Linked DNA regions of Anolis sagrei. The protein of the gene in region 1 interacts with the protein of each later gene in a biochemical or structural test. Links are inferred from orthologs where the notes say so. Each region holds a gene or a part of one and is shown on either strand. Other genes may lie near its edges.

Region 1 (11,628 bases):
AGAATTTGACAATGGATGATTGGACTTGCAGTCACTTCACTCACTTCCTGAGACCACTGAGACCCTCGCCAATGACTCATCAATACTAAACTTGGCACATGGAGCTCCAATGACCCACTCTACATCCTGGTGCACTTTGGAGGAGGACAGACCATGGATGATGGGACTTCAAGTACCTCCACTCCCCAAGACTTCTGCAGAACTCATCTAATGACCAATCAAGACCAAAGTTGGCACACAGAGCCCCCATGACCCACTCTACATCCTGCTGCAGTTTTGGAGAAGGGTGGACCATGGATGATGGAACTTCCAGTACCTTCACTCGCATTCTGAGACCTCTGCAAACCTCATCCAATGACGGATCAAGACCAAACTTGGCACATAGACCTCTCATGACCCACGTTACGTCCTGGTGTTGTTTGGAAAACTTTGGAGATGGATGATGGGACTTGCAGTACCTTTGCTCACTTCCTGAGACCACTGAGACCCTCGCCAATCACTAATCAAGACTAAACTTGCCACATGGAGCTCCAATGACCCACTCTACATCCTGGTGCAGTTTGGAGGACAGACCATGGATGATGGGTCTTCAAGTACCTCCACTCCCTTCCGAAGATTGCTGCAACCCTCTTCTAATGACCAATCAAGACCAAACTTGCCACATAGAGCCCCCATGATCCACTCTACATTCTGCTGCTGTTTGAAAGACGATGGACTTTGGATGATGGGACTTGCAGTACCTTCACTCACTTACTGACACCACTGCCACCCTCATCTAATGACTGATAAAGACCAAACTTGCAACCGGAGCCCCCATGACCCACTCTATATCCTGCTGCTGTTTGTAGGAGGATGGGCCATGGATGATGGCACTTCAAGTACCTTCACTCACTTCCTGAAAACAATGCAGCCATTATCCAATGACCAATAAAGACCAAACTTGGCATACAGAACCGCCATTACCCACTTTCTCTAATAACCCGGGCAGCGCCGGGTCCCCAAGCTAGTATATAATAAAGAAGAGTGTTTGTTTGTATAGGACAGAGGAATTGTGGAGGGCGGTGTATGTGCCAGCGTTCTGATTGGCTGCCGCTGTGGTGCTATTTGCATATGGTCTCTGATTGGGCAGCTTCAATAGGAGCCCCTGGTGGAGAAGAGGGTTCATGGCAGAAACAGGGCATGACAGAAGGAAATTTGCATATGGTCTCTGATTGGCCAGCCTCAAATCCAACATTCCGAGATGACAAAGAGAGGAAAGGAAAGGCCAAAGGGGGCTGGGTCAGAACACTCCCAATACAGACCGAAATAGGCACACAGAGCCCCCATCACCCACTCTACATCCTACTGCAGTTTGGAGGACTATGAACCATGGATGATGGGACTTGCAGTACCACCACTCACATTCTGAGACCGCTGTTAACCTTAGCCAATGACTGATCAGGGCCAAACTTCACACATAGACCACTCATGACCCACTTTACGTCCTGGTGTGGTTTGGCCGGGGATGGACCATGGATTATGGGACTTGCAGTACCATTGCTCAATTCTTCATACCACTGCAACCCTCATCCAATTACCAATAAATACCAAACTTGGCACACTGAGTCTCCATGACGCATTCTACATCCAAGTGCAGTTTGAAGGAGGATGCACCATGGACGATGGGACTTCCAATACCTGCACTCCCTTCCTAAGACCATTACAACTGCCAACGATGATGGATCAGGACCACAATTTACACAGAGAGCCTGCATAACTCACTCTACATCCTGGTGCGGTTTGGAAGAATCTGACAGTGGATGATGGGACTTGCAGTCACTTCACTCACTTCCTGAGACCACTGAGACCCTCGCCAATGATTCATCAAGACTAAACTTGGCACATGGAGCTTCAATGACCCACTCTACATCCCGGAGCAGTTTGGGGGACGACAGACCATGGATGATGGGACTTCAAGTACCTCCACTACCCAAGACTGCTGCAAAATTCATCTAATGGCCAATCAAGACCAACGTTGGCACACAGAGCCCCCATGACCCACTCTACATCCTGCTGCAGTTTTGAAGAAGGGTGGACCATGAATGATGGAACTTCCAGTACGTTCACTCACATTCTGAGACCTCTGCAAACCTCATCCAATGACGGATCAAGACCAAACTTGGCACATAGACCTCTCATGACCCACTTTACGTCCTGGTGTTGTTTGGAAAAATTTGGAGATGGATGATGGGACTTGCAGTACCTTTGCTCACTTCCTGAGACCACTGAGACCCTCGCCAATGACTACTCAAGACTAAACTTGCCACATCGAGCTCCAATGACCCACTCTACATCTTGCTGCAGTTTGGAGGAGGACAGACCATGGATGATGGGACTTCAAGTACCTCCACTCCCTTGCAAAAATTGCTGCAACCCTCTTCTAATGACCAATCAAGACCACACTTGGCACACAGAGCCCCCATGATCCACTCTACAGTCTGCTGCAGTTTGAAAGGGGATGGACTTTGGATGATGGGACTTGCAGTACCTTCACTCACTTACTGACACCACTGCCACCCTCATCTAATGACTGATAAAGGCCAAACTTGGCACACAGAGCCCCCATGACCCACTCTATATCCTGCTGCTGTTTGTAGGAGGATGGCCCATGGATGATGGGACTTCAAGTACCTTCACTCACTTCCTGAAAATAATGCAGCTGTTATCCAAAGACCAATAAAGACCAAACTTGGCATACAGAACCGCTATTACCCACTTTCTCTAATAACCCGGGCAACGCCGGGTCCCCAAGCTAGTATAACATATAATACAGTGCAAAGCATTTTATCCCCATTGGCAGCCATTCAGAAGACCTACTCCCTTCCCTGATTGGCTCAGGAATAGTCAAGTAAGGATCTGAGCTGGGGACTCTGTGTGATGTCAGGGGTGCATGGAGTCTCCCTTGTGGTGGGAAAAATGGAAAGCTGCTATTCGTCCACTTGAAGCTGGAACCATTTGGAAGATCCTCCTAGGACAGTGGTTCTCAACCTTTCTAATGCCGCGACCCCTTAATACAGTTCCTCATGTTGTGGTGGCCCCCAACCATCACATTATTTCTGTTGCTACTTCACAACTACAATTTTGCTACTGTTATGAATCATAATATAAATATATGATATCCAGGATGTATTTTCATTCGCTGGACCAAATTTGGCACAAATACCTGATATGCCCCAATTTGAATACTGGTGGGGTTGGCAGGGGATTGATGTTGTCATTTGGGAGTTGAAGTGGCTGAGATTTATAGTTCACCTACAATCAAAGAGCATTATGAACTCCAACAATGGAATTGAACCAATCTTGCCACACAGAATTTTCTTGACTAACAGAAAATACTGGAAGGGTTTGGTGGGCCTTGAGGTTTGGAGTTGTAGTTCACCTATATCCAGAGAGCACTATGGACTCACACAATGATGGATCTGGACCAAACTTGCCATGAATAGTCAACATGCCCAATGTGAATGAACACTGGTGGAGTTTGGGGAAAATAGACCTTGGCATTTGGGAGTTGTAGTTGCTGGGATTTATAGTTCACCTACAATAAAAGATTATTCTGATCCCCACCAATGATAGACTTGGGCCAAACTTCCCACACGGAACCCCTATGACCGACAGAAAATCCTATGTTTTCAGATGGTCTTTGGCGACCCCCCTGACACTCCCTCGTGACCCCCCCCCCCCCAGTTCACCTACAATAAAAGATTATTCTGATCCCCACCAATGATAGACTTGGGCCAAACTTCCCACACGGAACCCCTATGACCGACAGAAAATCCTATGTTTTCAGATGGTCTTTGGTGACCCCCCTGACACTCCCTCGTGACCCCCCCCCAGGGGTCCCAACCCCCAGGTTGAGAAGCACTGTCCTAGGAGAAATGGGGCAAGACTTGGAAAATGATCTGAAATAGTCTAGGTGACAGAGACAAAAGACAACGCTTATGCAAACACTTCAATTACATCTCTAAAGAGGCTTGGCTTCCTGGATGTTCAACACTCCAACAGTTTCTCAAGCACATTTTATATAGTTCACGTTTCTTTGGGTGCTTGATTCTTGTACATATGAGTCCTCTTCCCTGACTGTTCATTAATAAAGAAAACGTAGGTGCAAAGGTTCTCCTCCAGTGGCAGATTAGAAAAAAATGTTATTTCAATACAGTTTTGCATAGTTCTCTTACCAGGGAAGAGGGGAAAAGAGGGAGATAACAACAACAACAACAACAACAACAACAACAACAACAACAACAACAACACTTTGTTTATAAACTGCCTTTATTTATATGTATATTCTGCCTTTATTTATATTTATATTCTGAGGGGACTCAGAGTGGATTACAGTGTGTGTGTGTGTGTGTGTGTGTGTGTTCCCGTACCTTGGGAAGTCTGATCTGACCACAGTGGTCCACGCTCTTGTTACATCCCGAATAGACTACTGCAACACACTCTACGTGGGGTTGCCCTTGAAGACTGTTCGGAAACTTCAACTGGTCCAGCGAGCGGCAGCCAGATTGGTCATCAGAGCGACATACAGGGAGCACACCACCCCCCTGCTGTGTCAGCTCAACTGGCTGCCGGTTCAGTTCCGAGCACAATTCAAGGTGCTGGTTTTGACCTACAAAACCTTTTACGATTCCGGTCCAGTGTATCTGTCCGAACGTATCTCCCTCTACGTCCCGCCCCGTAATGTGAGATCATCTGGGGAGGCCTTACCCTCGACCCCACCGCTTTCACAAGTGAGGCTGGTGGGGACGAGGAGCAGGGCCTTCTCAGTGGTGGCCCCTCACCTGTGGAACTCACTCACGGGGGAAATTAGGGCATCCTCTCCTCTCCTTCAGGAGGAAGGTAAAGACGTGGCTGTGGGACCAGGCCTTTGGGCAATGTGACAATTAGATTTGGACAACCAGATGGATAGGACTGAAAGGACTGACAATTGTGGATTGGAATTTGAACTATGAGATTGCGAAACGCTGACCGTCAATGAGAAGAATGGTTTGTATTGGTTTTACTGCTTTTATGGTTGTTTTTGCCTTACAATAATTACTGTCTCTATTAATTGATGTTACTGCTAGAATTGCCGTTTCTGTTACCTGATGTTATTTGTCTTATTGCTGTTATGTGATGCGGGCATCGAATTGTGCGTTGCTTTTGTAAGCCGCCCTGAGTCCCCTCCGGGGTGAGAAGGGCGGGGTAGAAGCAACCGAAATAAATATGTGTGTGTGTGTGTGTAAACAGACACAGGCAAACATTCAATACCTTGATTACAATGACAGACAATGAGACAACAAATGCATAAACAAAAGCAAAGGCTTCTCCTTTCCTTTCTGGCTCTGGAGGTGGTGCTCACAGCAACCCGGATATGAAAGCTTTCAACAACACATTCAATGGGTTGTTTCCAGTTCAGGAAGGCTGGAAACACTCTGCTTCTGGGTGGGGTGTTTGTAGGTGAAACAACCTGTTGTAAGCACAAAATCCTGCTCGGCAGGTTGTCCTATTCCAACTCCCAATACTCAAGGGGAAAGGTATTGACAGCAATCGGGTATTTTTTTTGCCTCGACCCACTTCGTCTATTTCCGTAACAGGCGCCGAACGTCTTCGTTTATTTCCGGATATTCTCGTGTCCCACTGTAAACGCTTATTAGGAGGCATGTTTATCTTACCCATACATTACTTCCGGGTATTCTCGTTTCCCACTGCAAACGCTTATTTTGATGCATGTTTACCATATGCATACATTAATTACACCATTCAGGCCAAATGTCATACCTATATGATGAGAGACAATGACTCCTAAACATATTTTCAAGATGGAGATTCTTTTTTTCTCTCCCATTTCAAAGCAGGGCCGTTTCGCGCCACTTCGGCGACTTACGTCAAACGGGGCGAAGAAGGACGAGTCCGCGGCCGCTTGGGGGCAGGCGTTGGGAAGCCTTCGTCTCCTTTCGGCTCTTTCCGTGGAGGCGTTCGGGACGCGTTCGGCTCATTCCGTGTCCGCTCGGAAAAGCGCGGAGGAGGAGGCCTCGCCGAGGTCGGGTCTTTCCGTGCCTTTCCGTCGGCGGCTCGGGAAGATTCGGCTCCTGACGGGCCGGGGCCTTCCCTTCCTTCCTTTCCCTTTCCCTCCTGCGCGGCCCGGTTAACGGTCGCAGCCAGTTTAAATGAGACGGGGTGCGGGTGGCCGCTGCTACTACTACAAGTACAACTACTACTACTACTACTATTCCCGCGTCACCCACGGAGGCGGAGTCTGAGGGGGGAACAGAGAGAGGAGGGGGCGCCCTGGGCCCACCTCCCTCATCCGGGTCCTGTCCCTGAGGGGAAGCCGGGGAGGATGACGGTGCTGCAGGAACCCGTCCAGGTAGGGACCCCGCGGGCCAGAGAGAGAGAGAGGCCTACGCCGGGCGGCGGGAGGAAGCAGGCAGGCAGGCCAGCCGGCCGAGGAGCCTCTCCCTCCGCCTCCCCGCCGGGAAAAGGCTGCTGCCGAGCCAGGGAAGTGCCTCCCGTGGAACTCTTCGCCCAGGACCTTCTCCCAAGAGGCTGGAAGGAGCCATGTGGAGGGAGGGAGGGAGGGAAGGAGGGCTTCAAGGGGGTCCTTGCCCCCCCCTCCTGCCCTCAACATTAACCCCTGATCAGGAAAACGTCGCCCACCCTCCTCCCAAACCTTCCAGATCCTCTCCTGGGTTGCTCTTCACATAAAGCATGCACACACATTAAGTTATTAGTATGACATCATGGCACTACAGGTAGACTCACCCTCCTAAATATCTAAAATTATGTTCAGCCTTTCTCCCCATCCATCATCTCCACCTGAAAAAGCATTAAGTTATGAACATGACATCAGGCAACTTTCAGGGCCCTTTCCACGCAGCCATCTCACCCAGAATATCAAGGCAGGTCATCCACAACATCCCAAATCATAAAATTTATGTTCAGCCTTTCTTCCCATTCCTAATCTCTATCGTAAAAAGCGTTAAATTATCAATAAGACATCAGGGCCCTTCCACGCAGCCATCCCACCCAGAATATCATGGGCCCTTCTACACAGCCATCTCACCCAGAATATCATGGCAGGCCATCCACAATATCCCAAATCACAAAATTTGTGTTCAGCCTTTCTCCCCATTCCTAATCTCTATCGTAAAAAGCGTTAAGTTATCAATAAGACATCTGGGCCCTTCCACGCAGCCATCCCACCCAGAATATCATGGGCCCTTCTACACAGCCATCTCATCCAGAATATCATGGCAGGTCATCCACAACATCCCAAATCACAAAATTTATGTTCAGCCTTTCTTCCCATTCTTAATCTCTATCGTAAAAAGCGTTAAGTTATCAATAAGACATCAGGGCCATTCCACACAGCCATCCCACCCAGAATATCATGGGCCCTTCTATACAGCCATCTCACCCAGAATATCAAGGCAGGTCATCCACAACATCCCAAATCATAAAATTTATGTTCAGCCTTTCTTCCCATTCCTAATCTCTATCGTAAAAAGCGTTAAATTATCAATAAGACATCAGGGCCCTTCCACGCAGCCATCCCACCCAGAATATCATGGGCCCTTCTACACAGCCATCTCACCCAGAATATCATGGCAGGCCATCCACAATATCCCAAATCACAAAATTTGTGTTCAGCCTTTCTCCCCATTCCTAATCTCTATCGTAAAAAGCGTTAAGTTATCAATAAGACATCTGGGCCCTTCCACGCAGCCATCCCACCCAGAATATCATGGGCCCTTCTACACAGCCATCTCATCCAGAATATCATGGCAGGTCATCCACAACATCCCAAATCACAAAATTTATGTTCAGCCTTTCTTCCCATTCTTAATCTCTATCGTAAAAAGCGTTAAGTTATCAATAAGACATCAGGGCCATTCCACACAGCCATCCCACCCAGAATATCATGGGCCCTTCTATACAGCCATCTCACCCAGAATATCATGGCAGGTCATCCACAACATCCCAAATCACAAAATTTATGTTCAGCCTTTCTTCCCATTCCTAATCTCTATCGTAAAAAGCGTTAAGTTATCAATAAGACATCAGGGCCCTTCCACACAGCCATCCCACCCAGAATATAATGGGCCCTTCTACACAGCCATCTCACCCAGAATATCATGGCAGGTCATCCACAATATCCCAAATCACAAAATTTATGTTCAGCCTTTCTTCCCATTCCTAATCTCTATCGTAAAAAGCGTTAAGTTATCAATAAGACATCAGGGCCATTCCACACAGCCATCCCACCCAGAATATCATGGGCCCTTCTACACAGCCATCTCACCCAGAATATCATGGCAGGTCATCCACAACCTCCCAAATCACAAAATTTATATTCAGCCTTTCTTCCCATTCCTAATTTCTATCGTAAAAAGCATTAAGTTATCAATAAGACATCAGGGCCCTTCCATACAGCCATCTCACCCAGAATATCATGGCAGGTCATCCACAATATCCCAAATCACAAAATTTATGTTCAGCCTTTCTGCCCATCCCTCATCTCCACATTTAAAAGAAGGCATTGTGATTAAAATGACATCTTGTCACTACAGGTTTTGAGTTCTCCCTCCCAAATCTTGGAAATTATGCCCTGCCTTTTTTCCCATTCCTAATCTCCGTTTTAAAAAGCATTAAGTTATCAATATGACATCAGGGTCCTTCCACACAGCCATCTCACCCAGAATATCATGGCAGGTCATCCACGACATCCTAAATCATAAAATTTATGTTCAGCCTTTCTTCCCATTCCTAATCTTTATCGTAAAAAGCATTAAGTAATCAATAAGACATCTGAGCCCTTCCACACAGCCATATCACCCAGAATATCATGGCAGGTCATCTACAATATCCCAAATCACAAAATGTATGTTCAGCCTTTCTCCCCATTTCTAATCTCTATCGTAAAAAGCATTACGTTACCAGTAAGACATCAGGGCCCTTCCACACAGCCATCTCACCCAGAATATGATGGCAGATCATCCGCAATATCCCAAATCATAAAATTTATGTTCAGCCTTTCTTCCCATTCCTAATCTCTATCGTAAAAAGCATTAAGTAATCAATAAGACATCAGGGCCCTTCCACACAGCCATCCCACCCAGAATATAATGGGCCCTTCTGCACAGCCGTCTCACCCAGAATATCATGGCAGATCATCCACAATATCCCAAATCATAAAATGTATGTTCACCTTTCTAGCCATTCCTAATTTCTATCGTAAAAAGCATTAAGTTATCAATAAGACATCAGGGCCCTTCCATACAGCCATCTCACCCAGAATATCATGGCAGGTCATCCACAATATCCCAAATCACAAAATTTATGTTCAGCCTTTCTGCCCATCCCTCATCTCCACATTTAAAAGAAGGCATTGTGATTAAAATGACATCTTGTCACTACAGGTTTTGAGTTCTCCCTCCCAAATCTTGGAAATTATGCCCTGCCTTTTTTCCCATTCCTAATCTCCGTTTTAAAAAGCATTAAGTTATCAATATGACATCAGGGTCCTTCCACACAGCCATCTCACCCAGAATATCATGGCAGGTCATCCACGACATCCTAAATCATAAAATTTATGTTCAGCCTTTCTTCCCATTCCTAATCTTTATCGTAAAAAGCATTAAGTAATCAATAAGACATCTGGGCCCTTCCACACAGCCATATCACCCAGAATATCATGGCAGGTCATCTACAATATCCCAAATCACAAAATGTATGTTCAGCCTTTCTCCCCATTTCTAATCTCTATCGTAAAAAGCATTACGTTACCAGTAAGACATCAGGGTCCTTCCACACAGCCATCTCACCCAGAATATCATGGCAGGTCATCCACGACATCCTAAATCATAAAATTTATGTTCAGCCTTTCTTCCCATTCCTAATCTTTATCGTAAAAAGCATTAAGTAATCAATAAGACATCTGGGCCCTTCCACACAGCCATCTCACCCAGAATATGATGGCAGATCATCCGTAATATCCCAAATCACAAAATTTATATTCAGCCTTTCTCCCCATTCCCAATCTCCATCTTAAAAAGCATTAAGTTATCAATAAGACATCAGGGCCCTTCCACAAAGCCATCTGAGTCTTCCTTCCAAATCTCCAAAAGTATGTCCTGCTTTTTTTCCTCATCTCTCATCTCCACAATCAGAAACCATTGTACTCATGTGACATCATATCACTTCAGGTTGAGTCTCCCTCCTAAATCTCCAAAATTATCTCCTGCTTTTCTCCTCATCTCCACATTTAAAACAAACAAACAATTGGTATTAGTATGACATCATATCATTACAAGTTAAGTCTCCCTCCCAAATATCTGAAATTATGTTCTGCCCTTCTCCCCATCCTTCATCTCCATCTTAAAAAGCATTAAGTTATTAATATGACATCAGGCGACTTTCAGGGCCATTCCACACAGCCACATCACCCAGAATATCAAGGCAGATCATCCAAAATATCCTGTTTGAACTGGATTATCTGAGGCCACTTCCACATAGCTGAATAAAACCCCACATTATCCACTTTGAACTGGGATATATGGCAGTGTGGAAGGGCCCTAAGTCCAAACTGCCATATAATCCAGTTCAATGTGGATTTTATACCTGTTTGGAAGGGGCCTGAGTCTCCCTCCGAAATCTCCCAAGATTACCTCCCGCTTTTCTTCTCATCCCTCATCTCCACATTTAAAAGAAACGATTGTTATTAATATGAAATCATGTAAGTGCAGGTTGACTCTCCCTCCCAAATCTCCAAATTGATATACAGCCCTTCTTACCCATTCCTAATCTCCACCTGAAAAAGCATTAAGTTATGAACGTGGCATCAGATAACTTTCAGGGCCCTTTCCACACAGCCATATCACGCAGAATATCATGGCAGATCATCCACAATATCCCAAATCACAAAATTTATGTTCAGCCTTTCTTCCCATTCCTAATCTCCATCTTAAATAGCATTAAGTTATCAATAAAACATCAGGGCCCTTCCACAAAGCCATCTCACCCAGAATATCAAGGCAGATCATCCACAATACTTGCTTTGAACTGGATTCTCTGAGTCCACGTTGACATATAATCCATTTCAATGTGGATTTTATTCAGCAGTGTGGAAGGGGCCTAAGTCTCCACCCCAAATCTCCGAAATTACCTCCTTGTTATTAATATGACACATTGTCACTACAGGTTGAGTCCCCCTCCCAAATCTCCAAAATTATGTCCTGCCTTTCTCCCCATCCCTCATCTCCATATTAAAAAGCATTACGTTGTTAACATGACATCATGTAACTTTGAGTGTCCCTCCCAAATCTCTGAAATTATGTCATACTTTTCTCCACTTCCCTCATCTCCACATTCAGAAATGATTGTTATTCACGTGGCATCATGTAACTACAAATTGAATATCCTTTTTCTGAAATGCTTGGGACTTGAAAGTGTTTTGGATTTTGGAATACCTGTATTTGCATATACGTATGTATCATGAGATATCTTGGAGATGGGATCCAAAGCGTAACATTAAATTAATTACTGTTTCATAGAGGCCCTATACACATAAGTTTACACGTAACTACAAGTTGAGTCTGCCTCCCAGGT
Region 2 (11,183 bases), on another chromosome or scaffold:
TGGCTAGCATGACTGTATGGAGCACTGTTACCTTCCCGCAGAAACAGTACCTACTGATCTACTCATATTTGCATGTTTTCGAACTGCTATGTTGGCAGAAGCTGGGGCTAACAATGGGAGCTCACCCCGTCCCCACCAACCTTCCAATCAGCAAGTTCTGCATCTTAGTGTTTTAACTCACTTTGCCACCACTGCCCTTATGGTAATGTAGATTTAAATAATCCAGTACAAAGCAGATAATGTGGATTATCTGATTGGATAATATCAAGGAGAAACCTTTACCTTTACAGTACCATATAATCCAGTTCACAACACATAATCTGGATTTTATATGGCAGTGTGGAAGGGGCCTTAATCTCACAATCTCTCTCTTTAAAATTAAATTTCTCAGTGGAGAATCGGAGTGCAACTGGGTTCCAGAATATGTAATCTTTTTTTGTCTCTAATGAAAGATAAAAATGTAAGAACAAACAAACAAATAAACAAATACAACATTGCACACAAGCTCCTAAGTATAGTAGACATCTTCATGGTAGTGATAGTTCTCAAAAATTAATTCTATACTTGCTGGATACTTCCAGTGCTGATTGCAACTTCTTACTACTGCTTTACCACCTCATCCTGAATACAACTTCGAAGTTAAGTCAATTTTGGTTTGGATTGGAGATTACTAGAAGCCTCCATGTAGGAAATAATCCTGCCTGAAAATTGGAGGGCCATGTAATTAAGTGTGGGTAACTGCAGCCTACCACCTTTTGTTAGGACTCCCATTTCTTAGAATCCCTTACCATTAGCTTTGGTATCTAAGGTTTGGAGGATTTTTATGTTTTTTGTTTTTTGTTTACTGATGTACTGTGCGCTTGGCCTCATGTAAGCCGCACCGAGTCTCTTGGGGAGATGGTAGCAGGGTATAAATAAAGTTGTTGTTATTATTATTATTATTATTATTATTATTATTATTATGCCAAACATATCTGGAGAGATACAAGTCCTTGTAATACTGGTTTGAAACTTTGTTTTTCATAGCAATATTTCTGCATCTCCCCCTCCCCTGCATCTTTTTTTAAAAATCTAGGTAGACTACGACAATCATGCACTTTATAAACATGGGAAGACGGGTCGTAAACAATCCCCAGTTCGTATTTTTACCAACCTTTCACCACGTTTGATCGTGCTTCCTACAGAGGAAGGATATAGGTAAGAAACATTTGATGATCCCCAGACTTCAAATATTATTTTTATTTTTTATAAAAATAACATTTATTTGGCTGAAGATATCAATTACAGAAATGTGTAATGCAATAGCCCTTGAAGCAGAAAAAAATATATACTTTCAACTATTTTCTCTCTCTCTCTTTCTCTCTCTCTCTCTATACCAGATTTTGCTCTGTCTGTCAGCGATATGTCAGTTTAGACAACCAGCACTGTGAAATCTGCAATTCGTGCACATCTAAAGTAAGTGTATGACTTTTGGAAGAGATTAATAACAGTTAAACTTTGATCTGGTTTAGAGAGATATGGAGTGGGTAAGCAAGTGGTTTCAAAGTGGAAGCTAAAACCTAAATACAGTTGCTAAAGAAATAATATATACTTGCTCCCTGTATGCATGTACCCTTTTCTCGTAAGAGAAATATGTTAGTGAAGTAATATATTTCTCCCTTCCAGTTGAGCATATATTTTTGGCATACACAAGGTGAAGGCTGCAGGGTAAAGGCTACAATAATATACATAGAGGACAAAGAGATTTTGTGCTTAAAGCATAACATAAATATCATAAGGCTAAATGGGAAATTCGTACAATTTAAGTCTAAATTCAGTACAAAGTTCATCTTTTCCTTTCTTTTTTTACAAATAGGATGGGAGACGATGGAGACATTGCTGTCTTTGCAAAAAATGTGTAAAACCCAGTAAGTATTTTTGACCTAATTTTCAGCACACAGGGCCCTTCTAAACAGCCATTTAACCCAGAATATCAAGACAGATAATCCACAATATCTGCTTTGAAGTGGGTTATCTGAGTCCACACTTCCATATAATCCAGTTCAATGTGGATTGTATATAGCTGTGCTGAAGGGGACACAGTAGTTCCTCAAAGGAAACAAATGTTAAACTGCTACTGAATGTTTTGCTGCAGGTTGCACTTGTAAGACATGGTTTTGAAATGCCTTTGAAAGGGAACTCTCTGGATCAATTGGGCCACAGTGATTGGAGAGGGCTGTTCTCTCTCATGCTTGGAATTGTCTTAGAGCTGTATGAACACTTTTTTTCTTTATAGCTCTAATGTGTTCCTTTTATTTTGCAGCTTGGGTTCACTGCAGCACTTGCGATAAATGTGCTCTTCCAAGTCACTCTTGTAAGGATACTGACACTGGGTGCTATATATGTGGAGCCGCAGACCATAAACGCACCACCTGCCCTAACCTGCAGGTAGACAGGAGAGGTTCCCAGTAAGTTTGTTATGTGAATTTTCCTCCCTTTCTTTGTGGGAACAAACAAGCTAATTTCCTTTTCATAAAAAAGGGCCTCATTGAATACTTGATATACTACAGCTATAGAAAGCTTTTTTCCACTTCACTAACACATTGAAAACTACATGTGACTCACACTCTTTGTGTACACATGTGTGTGCATGTATCTTTTAAAAAACTCAACTACGGTTACAGGTATGTTTGCTGCAAACACACAAGAAAGGAATATTTTACAAATCTCTCACAAGCTGCTATGTTTCGGTGTAAATATGCATTTATAGAATACTAGCTTGGGTACCTGGTTACTTGAAAAAGTCCATTTTTAATTGTACAAAATGCATAAGGTTGTGGGTGAACTACAATTCATCATGCAAATGTCCATCAGTACTTATTTGTTTTATGGGCAAGTTTGCTTAGGATGCATCATTGGTGAGATTCAGTGTGCTTTCTAACTGTAGGGTAAACTACAACTCTCACTATGGTTAGTCAGTCCCCTCAAACCCCTCCAGTAGGTTGAGTTAGTCACGGGGGTTCTGTGTGCCAAGTTTGGTCCAGGTCCATCATCGGTGGAGGCCACAGTTTCTCTGGTTGTGGGTGAACTACAACTTCCAGAAAGGAAAGTCAGTATTCCCCAAACCCCATAATCAAATAATGTTGCAATTGGCCACCTTGGTTAGCACTGAATGGCCATGCAGCTTCAAAGCCTGCCTGGGGTGCTTCCTGCCTGGGGGAACCCTTTGTTTGAGACACCCTCAGACAGTATCAGTTAACACCTCCCAAGCAAAGAATGCCCCCAGGCAGGAACCACCCATGCTTTGAAGGTGCAAGGCCATTCAATGCCAATCAAGGTGGCCAATTGCAACATTCCACAGATATATAACCTCACTTGCCTAGTTTCCAACGGACCTTGCAATCTCCGAGAATGCCTGCCATAGATGTGGGTGAAATATCAGGAGAGAACGCTTCTGGAATGTGACCATACAGTCTGCAAAATTCATAGCAGCCCAATATTTTATTTATTACCCACCTTTCTTTTTGACTTAAGACAAAATACATCTAAAAAATCACATTAAAACATAGTTAAAATGCAACCATAAAAGCATACATTTAAAAGATAAATATTTAAAAACACCTGAGACAAAGGTTAAAGCACAATAATCAGAGAATGTGATTTAAAAGTCATAGTCTCAATTGTTTTGAAATTGCTAAAGTTGTATTAGAATACTCTTTGTGTGTTCCTAATCGCCCCCTTACAGTACTTTCCAGGATCATACAAGAAACTTCACAATAGTGCTGTGAGCTTTAGAATTATTTTTTTTTAAAAAAGACCTGGAACTTTTAACTATTTGTTGAAGTCATATTTCCAGTTTTAACAAATGGCACAATTTTTACATTTTCTTCTTTTCAGAAGTGGCAAAAAGACAAAGAAAAAGAAGAAGAAGAAGGCAAGAGCAAATGTTGCCAAAAGAAAAGGTGCAAAGAAGACAAAAACTGCAAGACATACAAAGAACAAAAAATAGAAAAACTCATCTTTGCAGCAGTGCTGTTATTAAGCAGCAATTTGAAAGACAGACTAAATTAGGGCTTTGTTTTTGTACATATTGTACTTTTCACTAAAAAAGGCATAAAAAGACTTCGCAAAAAAGTTCAGCTTGCTAATGTGCTAAAAGTAAACACTATTATATGTTTATAGCCACATACACTATTCAGTGTTTTGCGGGTGAATTTGGAGAATTCAGTGCAATTCAATCATATTGTATAAAGGTGAATATGTGTATTTTTGTATTTAAAAAATTGCCTCTTTGGTGCCATCTTCATTTTTGTTCATCACTTGGGAGGATTTGAATACTCTGAATTGCTAAGAAGAAGTTGCAAAGTACTATAAGACATAGGACATTAACCACTTATCCCTAAAGCCAATCTGAGGGGCAAAGGCTGGATTGACCTATGATAGCTTAGACCTGCCTTTCCTTTTCAATCTCTCTGTCCAGCATCAAACCAAGTGATGACTGCCCAATACAAATATATACACATATAAATGTAGTGGTTTTTTAAATGCCACTGGAGAGTTCCTTTCGAAGTGGTTGATTTGTGATGGCCTTGATAGTATTCCATTTGCATTTTGCAAAGATGCTGCCTCTCCCCAAACCGACCTGAACTGTTTCACAGTAACTTTGTAATCTTCACATATCTTCTCATTATGGCATTATTTCATCACAGGGATAGATAGAACTATGTAACACAATTTTTGTTCCTGGGTTATAAATGTCATTTCCTAACTTGTTCTATTATAAAAACATGGAAAACTAAACTGTAAGGAACATGAAAGGCACTGCAGACTAATTCAACCAGATAAGTCAAGCCATAGCAGAGCACTTGATGAACCAACCTGGACACAGCATATTTTTTAAGAACACAGAAATGCTGGACCACTCAAACAACCGCTACACAGATAAGCCACTGAAATCCACAAGCATGTGGACAATTTCAACAGAAAGGAGGAAACCATGACATTGAACAAAATCTGTCTACCAGTATTAAAAAACACTCTAAAACCAGGACAGTTAATAAAGAATAACGCGCAGTAAACGGGAATTCCAGACAAGAAACAATCAGGGCCAGCTAATGCCTCCCAACAAAGGATTCCCCCGGGCAGAAAGCAGCCAGGCTTTGAAGCTGCAAGGCTTTTGTTTATTTGTTCAGTTGCTTCTGACTATTGGTGACCTCACGGACCAGCCCATGCCAGAGCTCCGTGGCCACCCTCAGGTCCTTCAAGGTCAAGTCAGTCACTTCAAGGATACCATTCATCCATCTTGCCCTTGGCCGACCCCTCTTCCTTTTTCCTTCCATTTTCCCTGGCATCATGATCTTCTCCAAAATTTCCTGTCTTCTCATTATGTGGCCAAATTACTTCATCTTGCCTCTAATATCCTTCCCTCCAGTGAGCAGTTGGAGGTATCAAGGTAGCCAATTGCAACATCCACACTTGCCCCCAACAGACAAGAGTTCTTTCTCCTACCTAGGACATTCCATAGACATATAAACCTCACTTGCCTTGTTTCCAACAGGCCTCAGCAGTTTAACCCACTGCACCACCAAACTGAATCCATACTGTAGAATTAATGTAGACTGGCACCATTTGGACTGCAATGGGATATAATTTTGGGATTTGCAGTTTGGTACAGCTCCAGCATTCTCTGGCAGAGAAGACTGAAGAACCTACTAAAACTCCAACTCCCAGGATTCCCTAGCATTGAGCCACTTCAGTTAAAGTGGGGTCAGGCTGCATTAATTCTGCAATGCAGATGCATCCTCAGAACCTTCCAAAGACAAGAGATCTGATCCTTCTGAAAGGCATACTTTCTAAGGATGCAGTTTGGCCTTTCGACCTCTAGATGGCGCAAGGCAAACCCTCTTACAGGAAGTGCTGGATGGTGATGCTTCTGCTTGCAAAAGCCCGGGAAGGAAGTGGAGCTGTGTTTCATTGCAGAGCAGAGTGACAACCGGGAAGGAGAAAAGAGGGTATGATGTGGTTGGATTGGTCACATTTTTCAAAATAGGATGCTTCTGTTCGATTCCTTGCAGGCACCTCTCCATCAGGGAGTTCTCTCTTACAAAGAGATTTAATTAAACAGGTTGAGGATCCCTGTTGCTAAATTTTGGTGACTGCAACAGCAGTGGACTCGAATTGAAACTGGCATGAGGTGCTATATTGCAGAGAAAAGCCATTGCAAACCACCTTTCAGTCGTCCTTGCCTGAGATCCCTTCTACACAGCCCTATATCCAAGGATATGATCCCAGATTATCTGCTTTGAACTGCATTTCCATCTACGAACCCGCATGTTCTCTTCGGTCATCTGGAGAGGCCCTGCTCGTGATCCCACCGGCGTCGCAAGCGCGCTTGGTGGGGACGCGGGACAGGGCCTTTTCCGTGGTGGCCCCCCGACTCTGGAACACCCTCCCCAAAGACCTTAGACAGGCCCCTACATTGGCTGTCTTCAGAACTTGAAGACCTGGCTTTTCCGATGCGCCTTCCCAGATTAGGAAATCTCCACTACCAAGTCCCATAAGCACTTTATCAGAACCAATGATTGCTGCACATCGCACTTTCCCTGGAAGCCCTATATACACCTCCTGTCACATCAGCACTTTTAATCTTGTACCCATTGCTCTGGCCCGGCCCAGTTTTATTGTGTTTAGTGTATTGTGCCTGTTGTTTATTTTGCTTTATTCTGTTTTTAATTGTTTGATTTGCTTAGATTGTATTGTTGTGTTGTGTGTTGAGGCCTCGGCCTGTGTAAGCCGCATCGAATCCTTCGAGAGATGCTAGCGGGGTACAAATAAAGTTTAATAATAATAATAATAATAATAATAATAATGTGAGTCTACACTGCCAGATAATCTGGGATAAGAAGATAATCTGGAATCAGTTCCTGGGGCAGTATAAATCTAGCCCAAGAAAACTTTGTGAGATTCTTAGGATTGCCATTAATTGACAGCTTGATATAGACAAATATATTCACAAACACAATGGCTGGAATCCTGATTGTCTAAATTTGAGATGGCCTGTTGAATCAACAGCTAAGTGATCCAACTTGTAAGTAAATAAAATTATTATTTATTTATTTCAGACATTTATATCCTGTCCTATCTCGACCTCCGCAGAGGGACTCGGCGGCTGACAACAAAAGCATAAATATACATCTTAGATTTTAAAAAATTATAAAACATCATAAAAACAGTAAAGCAATTGATTCAGTGGACCTACTCTAGGTTGGGCTAGCAAATTTAGGCCAATCTTGTCTATCATGTGGCATGGAGGAACCTGGGATGAGAACCTTTGGTGGTTAATAAATACTAGAAGAAATATTAGATGCATATTCAGGATTCTTTGCCACCAATACATAAAGGGAAGAGTGGATAAATATGCATTCTTCTCAATAGAAAGTTAGCTTTGATATTTCTGTTTTGGCATTCGTTTAAATATGTTGTGTTAATAAGGAGCCTTTGTGATGCAATGGGTTAAACTTCAAATCTGGGGAGTGGATGAGTTCCCATCTGTCAGCTCCAGCTTCTCGTGTAGAGACATCAAAGAAGCCTCCCACAGTATGGTAAAACATCCGGTCGTCCCCTTTGGAAATGTCTTTGCAGACGACCAATTCTCTCACACCAGAAGCGACTTGCAGTTTCTCGAGCTGCTCCTGAAATGGAAAAAAAATAACCAAAACCTGGGCTGTATCTTTTTATTTTAGGGAATTGCCACATCTGCAGCCATGCCTGCATTCCGGCAGGTTGGGGAGAAGCAACTGCCTCAAGAGATCATTTTCATGGCCTGGTCTCCCAAGAGGGATCTGATTGCCTTGGCCAACAAAGTTGGAGAGGTAAGGAAAGGGAACAGTGCTAAGAACCAATATATGTGGAAAGGATGGAGTGCTGAATGGGCCTGCTCTCTTTTACATTTTGTTACATGTAAAATCAGTTGTATTCTCTCCACATCCTTAGTAGATATAGCATGACATATTCATATTATAGAAAGTAACTGCAATTTGATATATATTAATAATACTATGTAACAAAATTGGAAAAAGTAAATCTGTTTCTAGCTTGAAAGTGTTATTTTCTGTTTAATTCTGTGGCACTTTGAAAGTAGTTGTTATACTCCAGAAACTTGGAGTATGTTTTTTTTTCCCCCGGCAATTGAATGTTTGCCTTATATGTTGGAAACCGGCCTGAGTCCCTTCAGGGAGATAGGATGGTATACAAATACAGTTTTATTATAGTTCTATTAAAGTTTGTTTTTTTGGCTGCCACAAATGAATTGGTTGAGATTCAGTGAGATATTCATTGAAAAACTATTGCAAAATGTGCTGCAGGGAGTTCTGCAAAAACAAAGTTTTTGTAATGTGTTGTCGAAGGCTTTCTTGGCTAAAATCACTGGGTTGCTATGAGTTTTCCAGGCTGTCTCGCCATGTTCCAGAAGCATTCTCTCCTGACTTTTTGCCCACATTTATGGCAGGCATCTTCAGAGGTCGTGAGGTCTGTTGGAAACTAGGCAAGTGAGGTTTATATATCTGTGGAATGTCCAGGGTGGGAGAAAGAACAATTGTTTGTTTAAGGCAAATGTGAATTTTGCAGTTGGTTACCTTCCATAGATGTGGGCGAAACGTCAGGCAAGAATGCTTCTGGAACATGCCCATACAGCCTGGAAAACTCACAGCAAACTGGACACCACTTTTTAAATCCAAGAGAACATCCCTTTATGAATGTCTAGGTCCTCTAGCACAACTTTGTGATCAACTTCCGTCAGGAGAACATATTACTTAAATCCATAAATAATAAAATCCACAAAAGGTCAACTCACAAGGGTGGAAGGGTCATCATAGAGTTGGTAGAGACCACAAGGGCCATCCAATTACCTTGTATTTGTTTAAGATGAGTTTGACCGTAACATTATGTAGTACAATTTTTGTTTTCTAAATGTCGTTTCCTAACTGGTTCTATCATAAAAACATGGAAAAGGTTGATTATCTTGCAGTAGATTTTGCTATAGTTTTTCAATAAATATCTCACTGAGTCTCAACCAATTCAACATAATTTGTGGCAACCACAAAAACAACATTTCTGAACTATAACAACTACTTTCGTACCACACAATTAAACAGGAAATAACCCTTTCACACCAGGAGCAACATTTTTTCAAATTTTGATACATCGTGTAATTTGGCACTGCACATTGACAATGTCATACTGCCATGGAAATCGATGCAGATTTTCTAAAACATTTTTTTTTGTTAGGATACATTTGTAATATTATGTTGCCATAATAGATGATGCTGGCTGCTGTAGAATTGTATTGTCGAAGGCTTTAATGGCTGGAATCACTGGGTTGTTGTAGGTTTTTTTCGGGCTATATGGCCATGTTCTAGAGGCATTCTCTCCTGACATTTCGCCTGCATCTATGGCAAGCATCCTCAGAGGTCGTGAGGTCTGTTGGAACTAGGAAAATGGGTTTATATATCTGTGGAAAGACCAGGGTGGGACAAAGGACTCTTGTCTGCTGGAGCTAGGTGTGAATATTTCAACTGACCACCTTGATTAGCATTTGATACCCTGGCAGTGCCTGGAGCAATCTTTTGTTGAGAGGTGATTAGATGTCCCTGATGGTTTTCCCTTCGCTGTTTTGCTGTTTTCATTTTAGAGTTTTTTAATATTGGTAGCCAGATTTTGTTCATTTTCATGGTTTCCTCCTTTTTGTTGAAATTTTCCACATGCTTGTGTATTTCAATGGCTTCTCTGTGTAGTCTGTAGAATTTTAATGCATTTTTCCTGCTGTTAGGTGCTCTGAAAATACCTCTCTCTTTTGTACTCGTTTGTTTTATTTTCTCTGGAGGCAGATAGTTTAAATACTTTCATTTCATTTCCCAACATTTCTTAGGTTTTACTTCACCGTCTTGCAAACTTTCAACGAGTCTGGAGTCTGCCACCAAGTGACAGCACAGGGAAAGATGTGACGGCCCTCGCATGGAGACCAGATGGCAAAAGTAAGATGTAACAAATGACCCTTTGTATCATGAATTACACTATGTAACGAAATTTGTAAATTATTCTGTTCCTGGTTTGAAAGTGTTATTTCCTGTATAATTGTGCAGTACTTACTTTGAACTCCGTGTTTGTGGCTGCTACAAACTATGTTGAATTAATTGAGGCTCAATGAGATATTCACTGAAAAACTATAGCAAAATATACAGCAGTTTTTTCAGTTTAATAAACTTTTCCCATGTTTTTATGATAAAACCAATTAGGAAATAACATTTATAACCCAAGAACAAAAATCGTTTTACATAGTGTTATGTTTTAAGTGAAATTGTGCTCTTAAGGCACATGTCATCCGTTCACTGCATAAGATGCATCCTGCTTGCCAGTCTTTAAAAGAAAAAAAAAACAATTTTGTTTAATATAAAAAAATATTTTTTTTGTTTTCTTAGTATACATCAATACCTTCATACTCTTATATTCCATCCTTAATTCATTCCGTCAACTATAAGTGTATATCAAAAATTATGACTAATGGATTTGCCTTATATTCCAGACTACATTTGTATACTGATTGTATTTCACATAAAAAATGCATTTCTTGTAACCGTTTCTAAAGTCTGCTGCTTGCAGTTAATATTTGTTAAGTGCACTATATATTTTCATGTTTTACCTTTCCTTCCATAGTTTTGGCTTTTGGACTTGCTGATACCAAGAAAGTCATCCTGTGTGATGTGGAGAAACCAGAGAGCTTGCATTCTTTCTCAGTGGATTCTCCTATTACTTACATGCACTGGATGGAAGTTACAGAAGAAAACAGGTAGGCAGGAGACAGGCTCGTAGCGAGGATTTTGGTTCGGGGGGAGGGGGGTGAGTTTGATTGGGGGGGGCTGAGTTTCATTTGGGGGGGCTGAGTTTGATTCGGGGCGGGTGGGGTCAGGATCTACCCTAGCAAATCTTTTGTATCGTTACCCCAATACCCCCATGCATATGGGATATATTGAGCATGGTGATCAGATCATGATATCAATAAACATAACAATTTAAATAATGTACCAGTAAGGCCTTCTTGCGGACACCCTGAGAATTTCAGGGGGGGCTGAAGCCCCCACCCCCAGCTACGGGCCTGGCAGGAGACAAATACTTATTGGTGCCCATTCATCCAATAACTTGTGTAACAA

The links.
Region 2: the proteins of CDC27 (region 1) and ANAPC4 form a complex in vitro, tested with the Homo sapiens proteins (2 studies listed by BioGRID). The link is inferred for Anolis sagrei from reciprocal best matches to the Homo sapiens genes CDC27 and ANAPC4.

What each region holds. Positions count from the first base shown.
Region 1 is NC_090026.1:44,042,068-44,053,695, forward strand, and holds the start of CDC27 (cell division cycle protein 27 homolog), read left to right. Parts: upstream 1-6,072; 5' UTR 6,073-6,361; coding exon 6,362-6,388; intron 6,389-11,628. UniProt on the Homo sapiens protein: Component of the anaphase promoting complex/cyclosome (APC/C), a cell cycle-regulated E3 ubiquitin ligase that controls progression through mitosis and the G1 phase of the cell cycle.
Region 2 is NC_090025.1:112,826,123-112,837,305, forward strand, and holds the start of ANAPC4 (anaphase-promoting complex subunit 4), read left to right. Parts: upstream 1-5,878; 5' UTR 5,879-5,990; intron 5,991-7,721; 5' UTR 7,722-7,742; coding exon 7,743-7,850; intron 7,851-9,904; coding exon 9,905-10,010; intron 10,011-10,689; coding exon 10,690-10,822; intron 10,823-11,183. Other genes in the region: rRNA N6-adenosine-methyltransferase ZCCHC4, read left to right, coding at 1,076-1,197, 1,380-1,455, 1,856-1,907, 2,303-2,447, 3,877-3,988. UniProt on the Homo sapiens protein: Component of the anaphase promoting complex/cyclosome (APC/C), a cell cycle-regulated E3 ubiquitin ligase that controls progression through mitosis and the G1 phase of the cell cycle.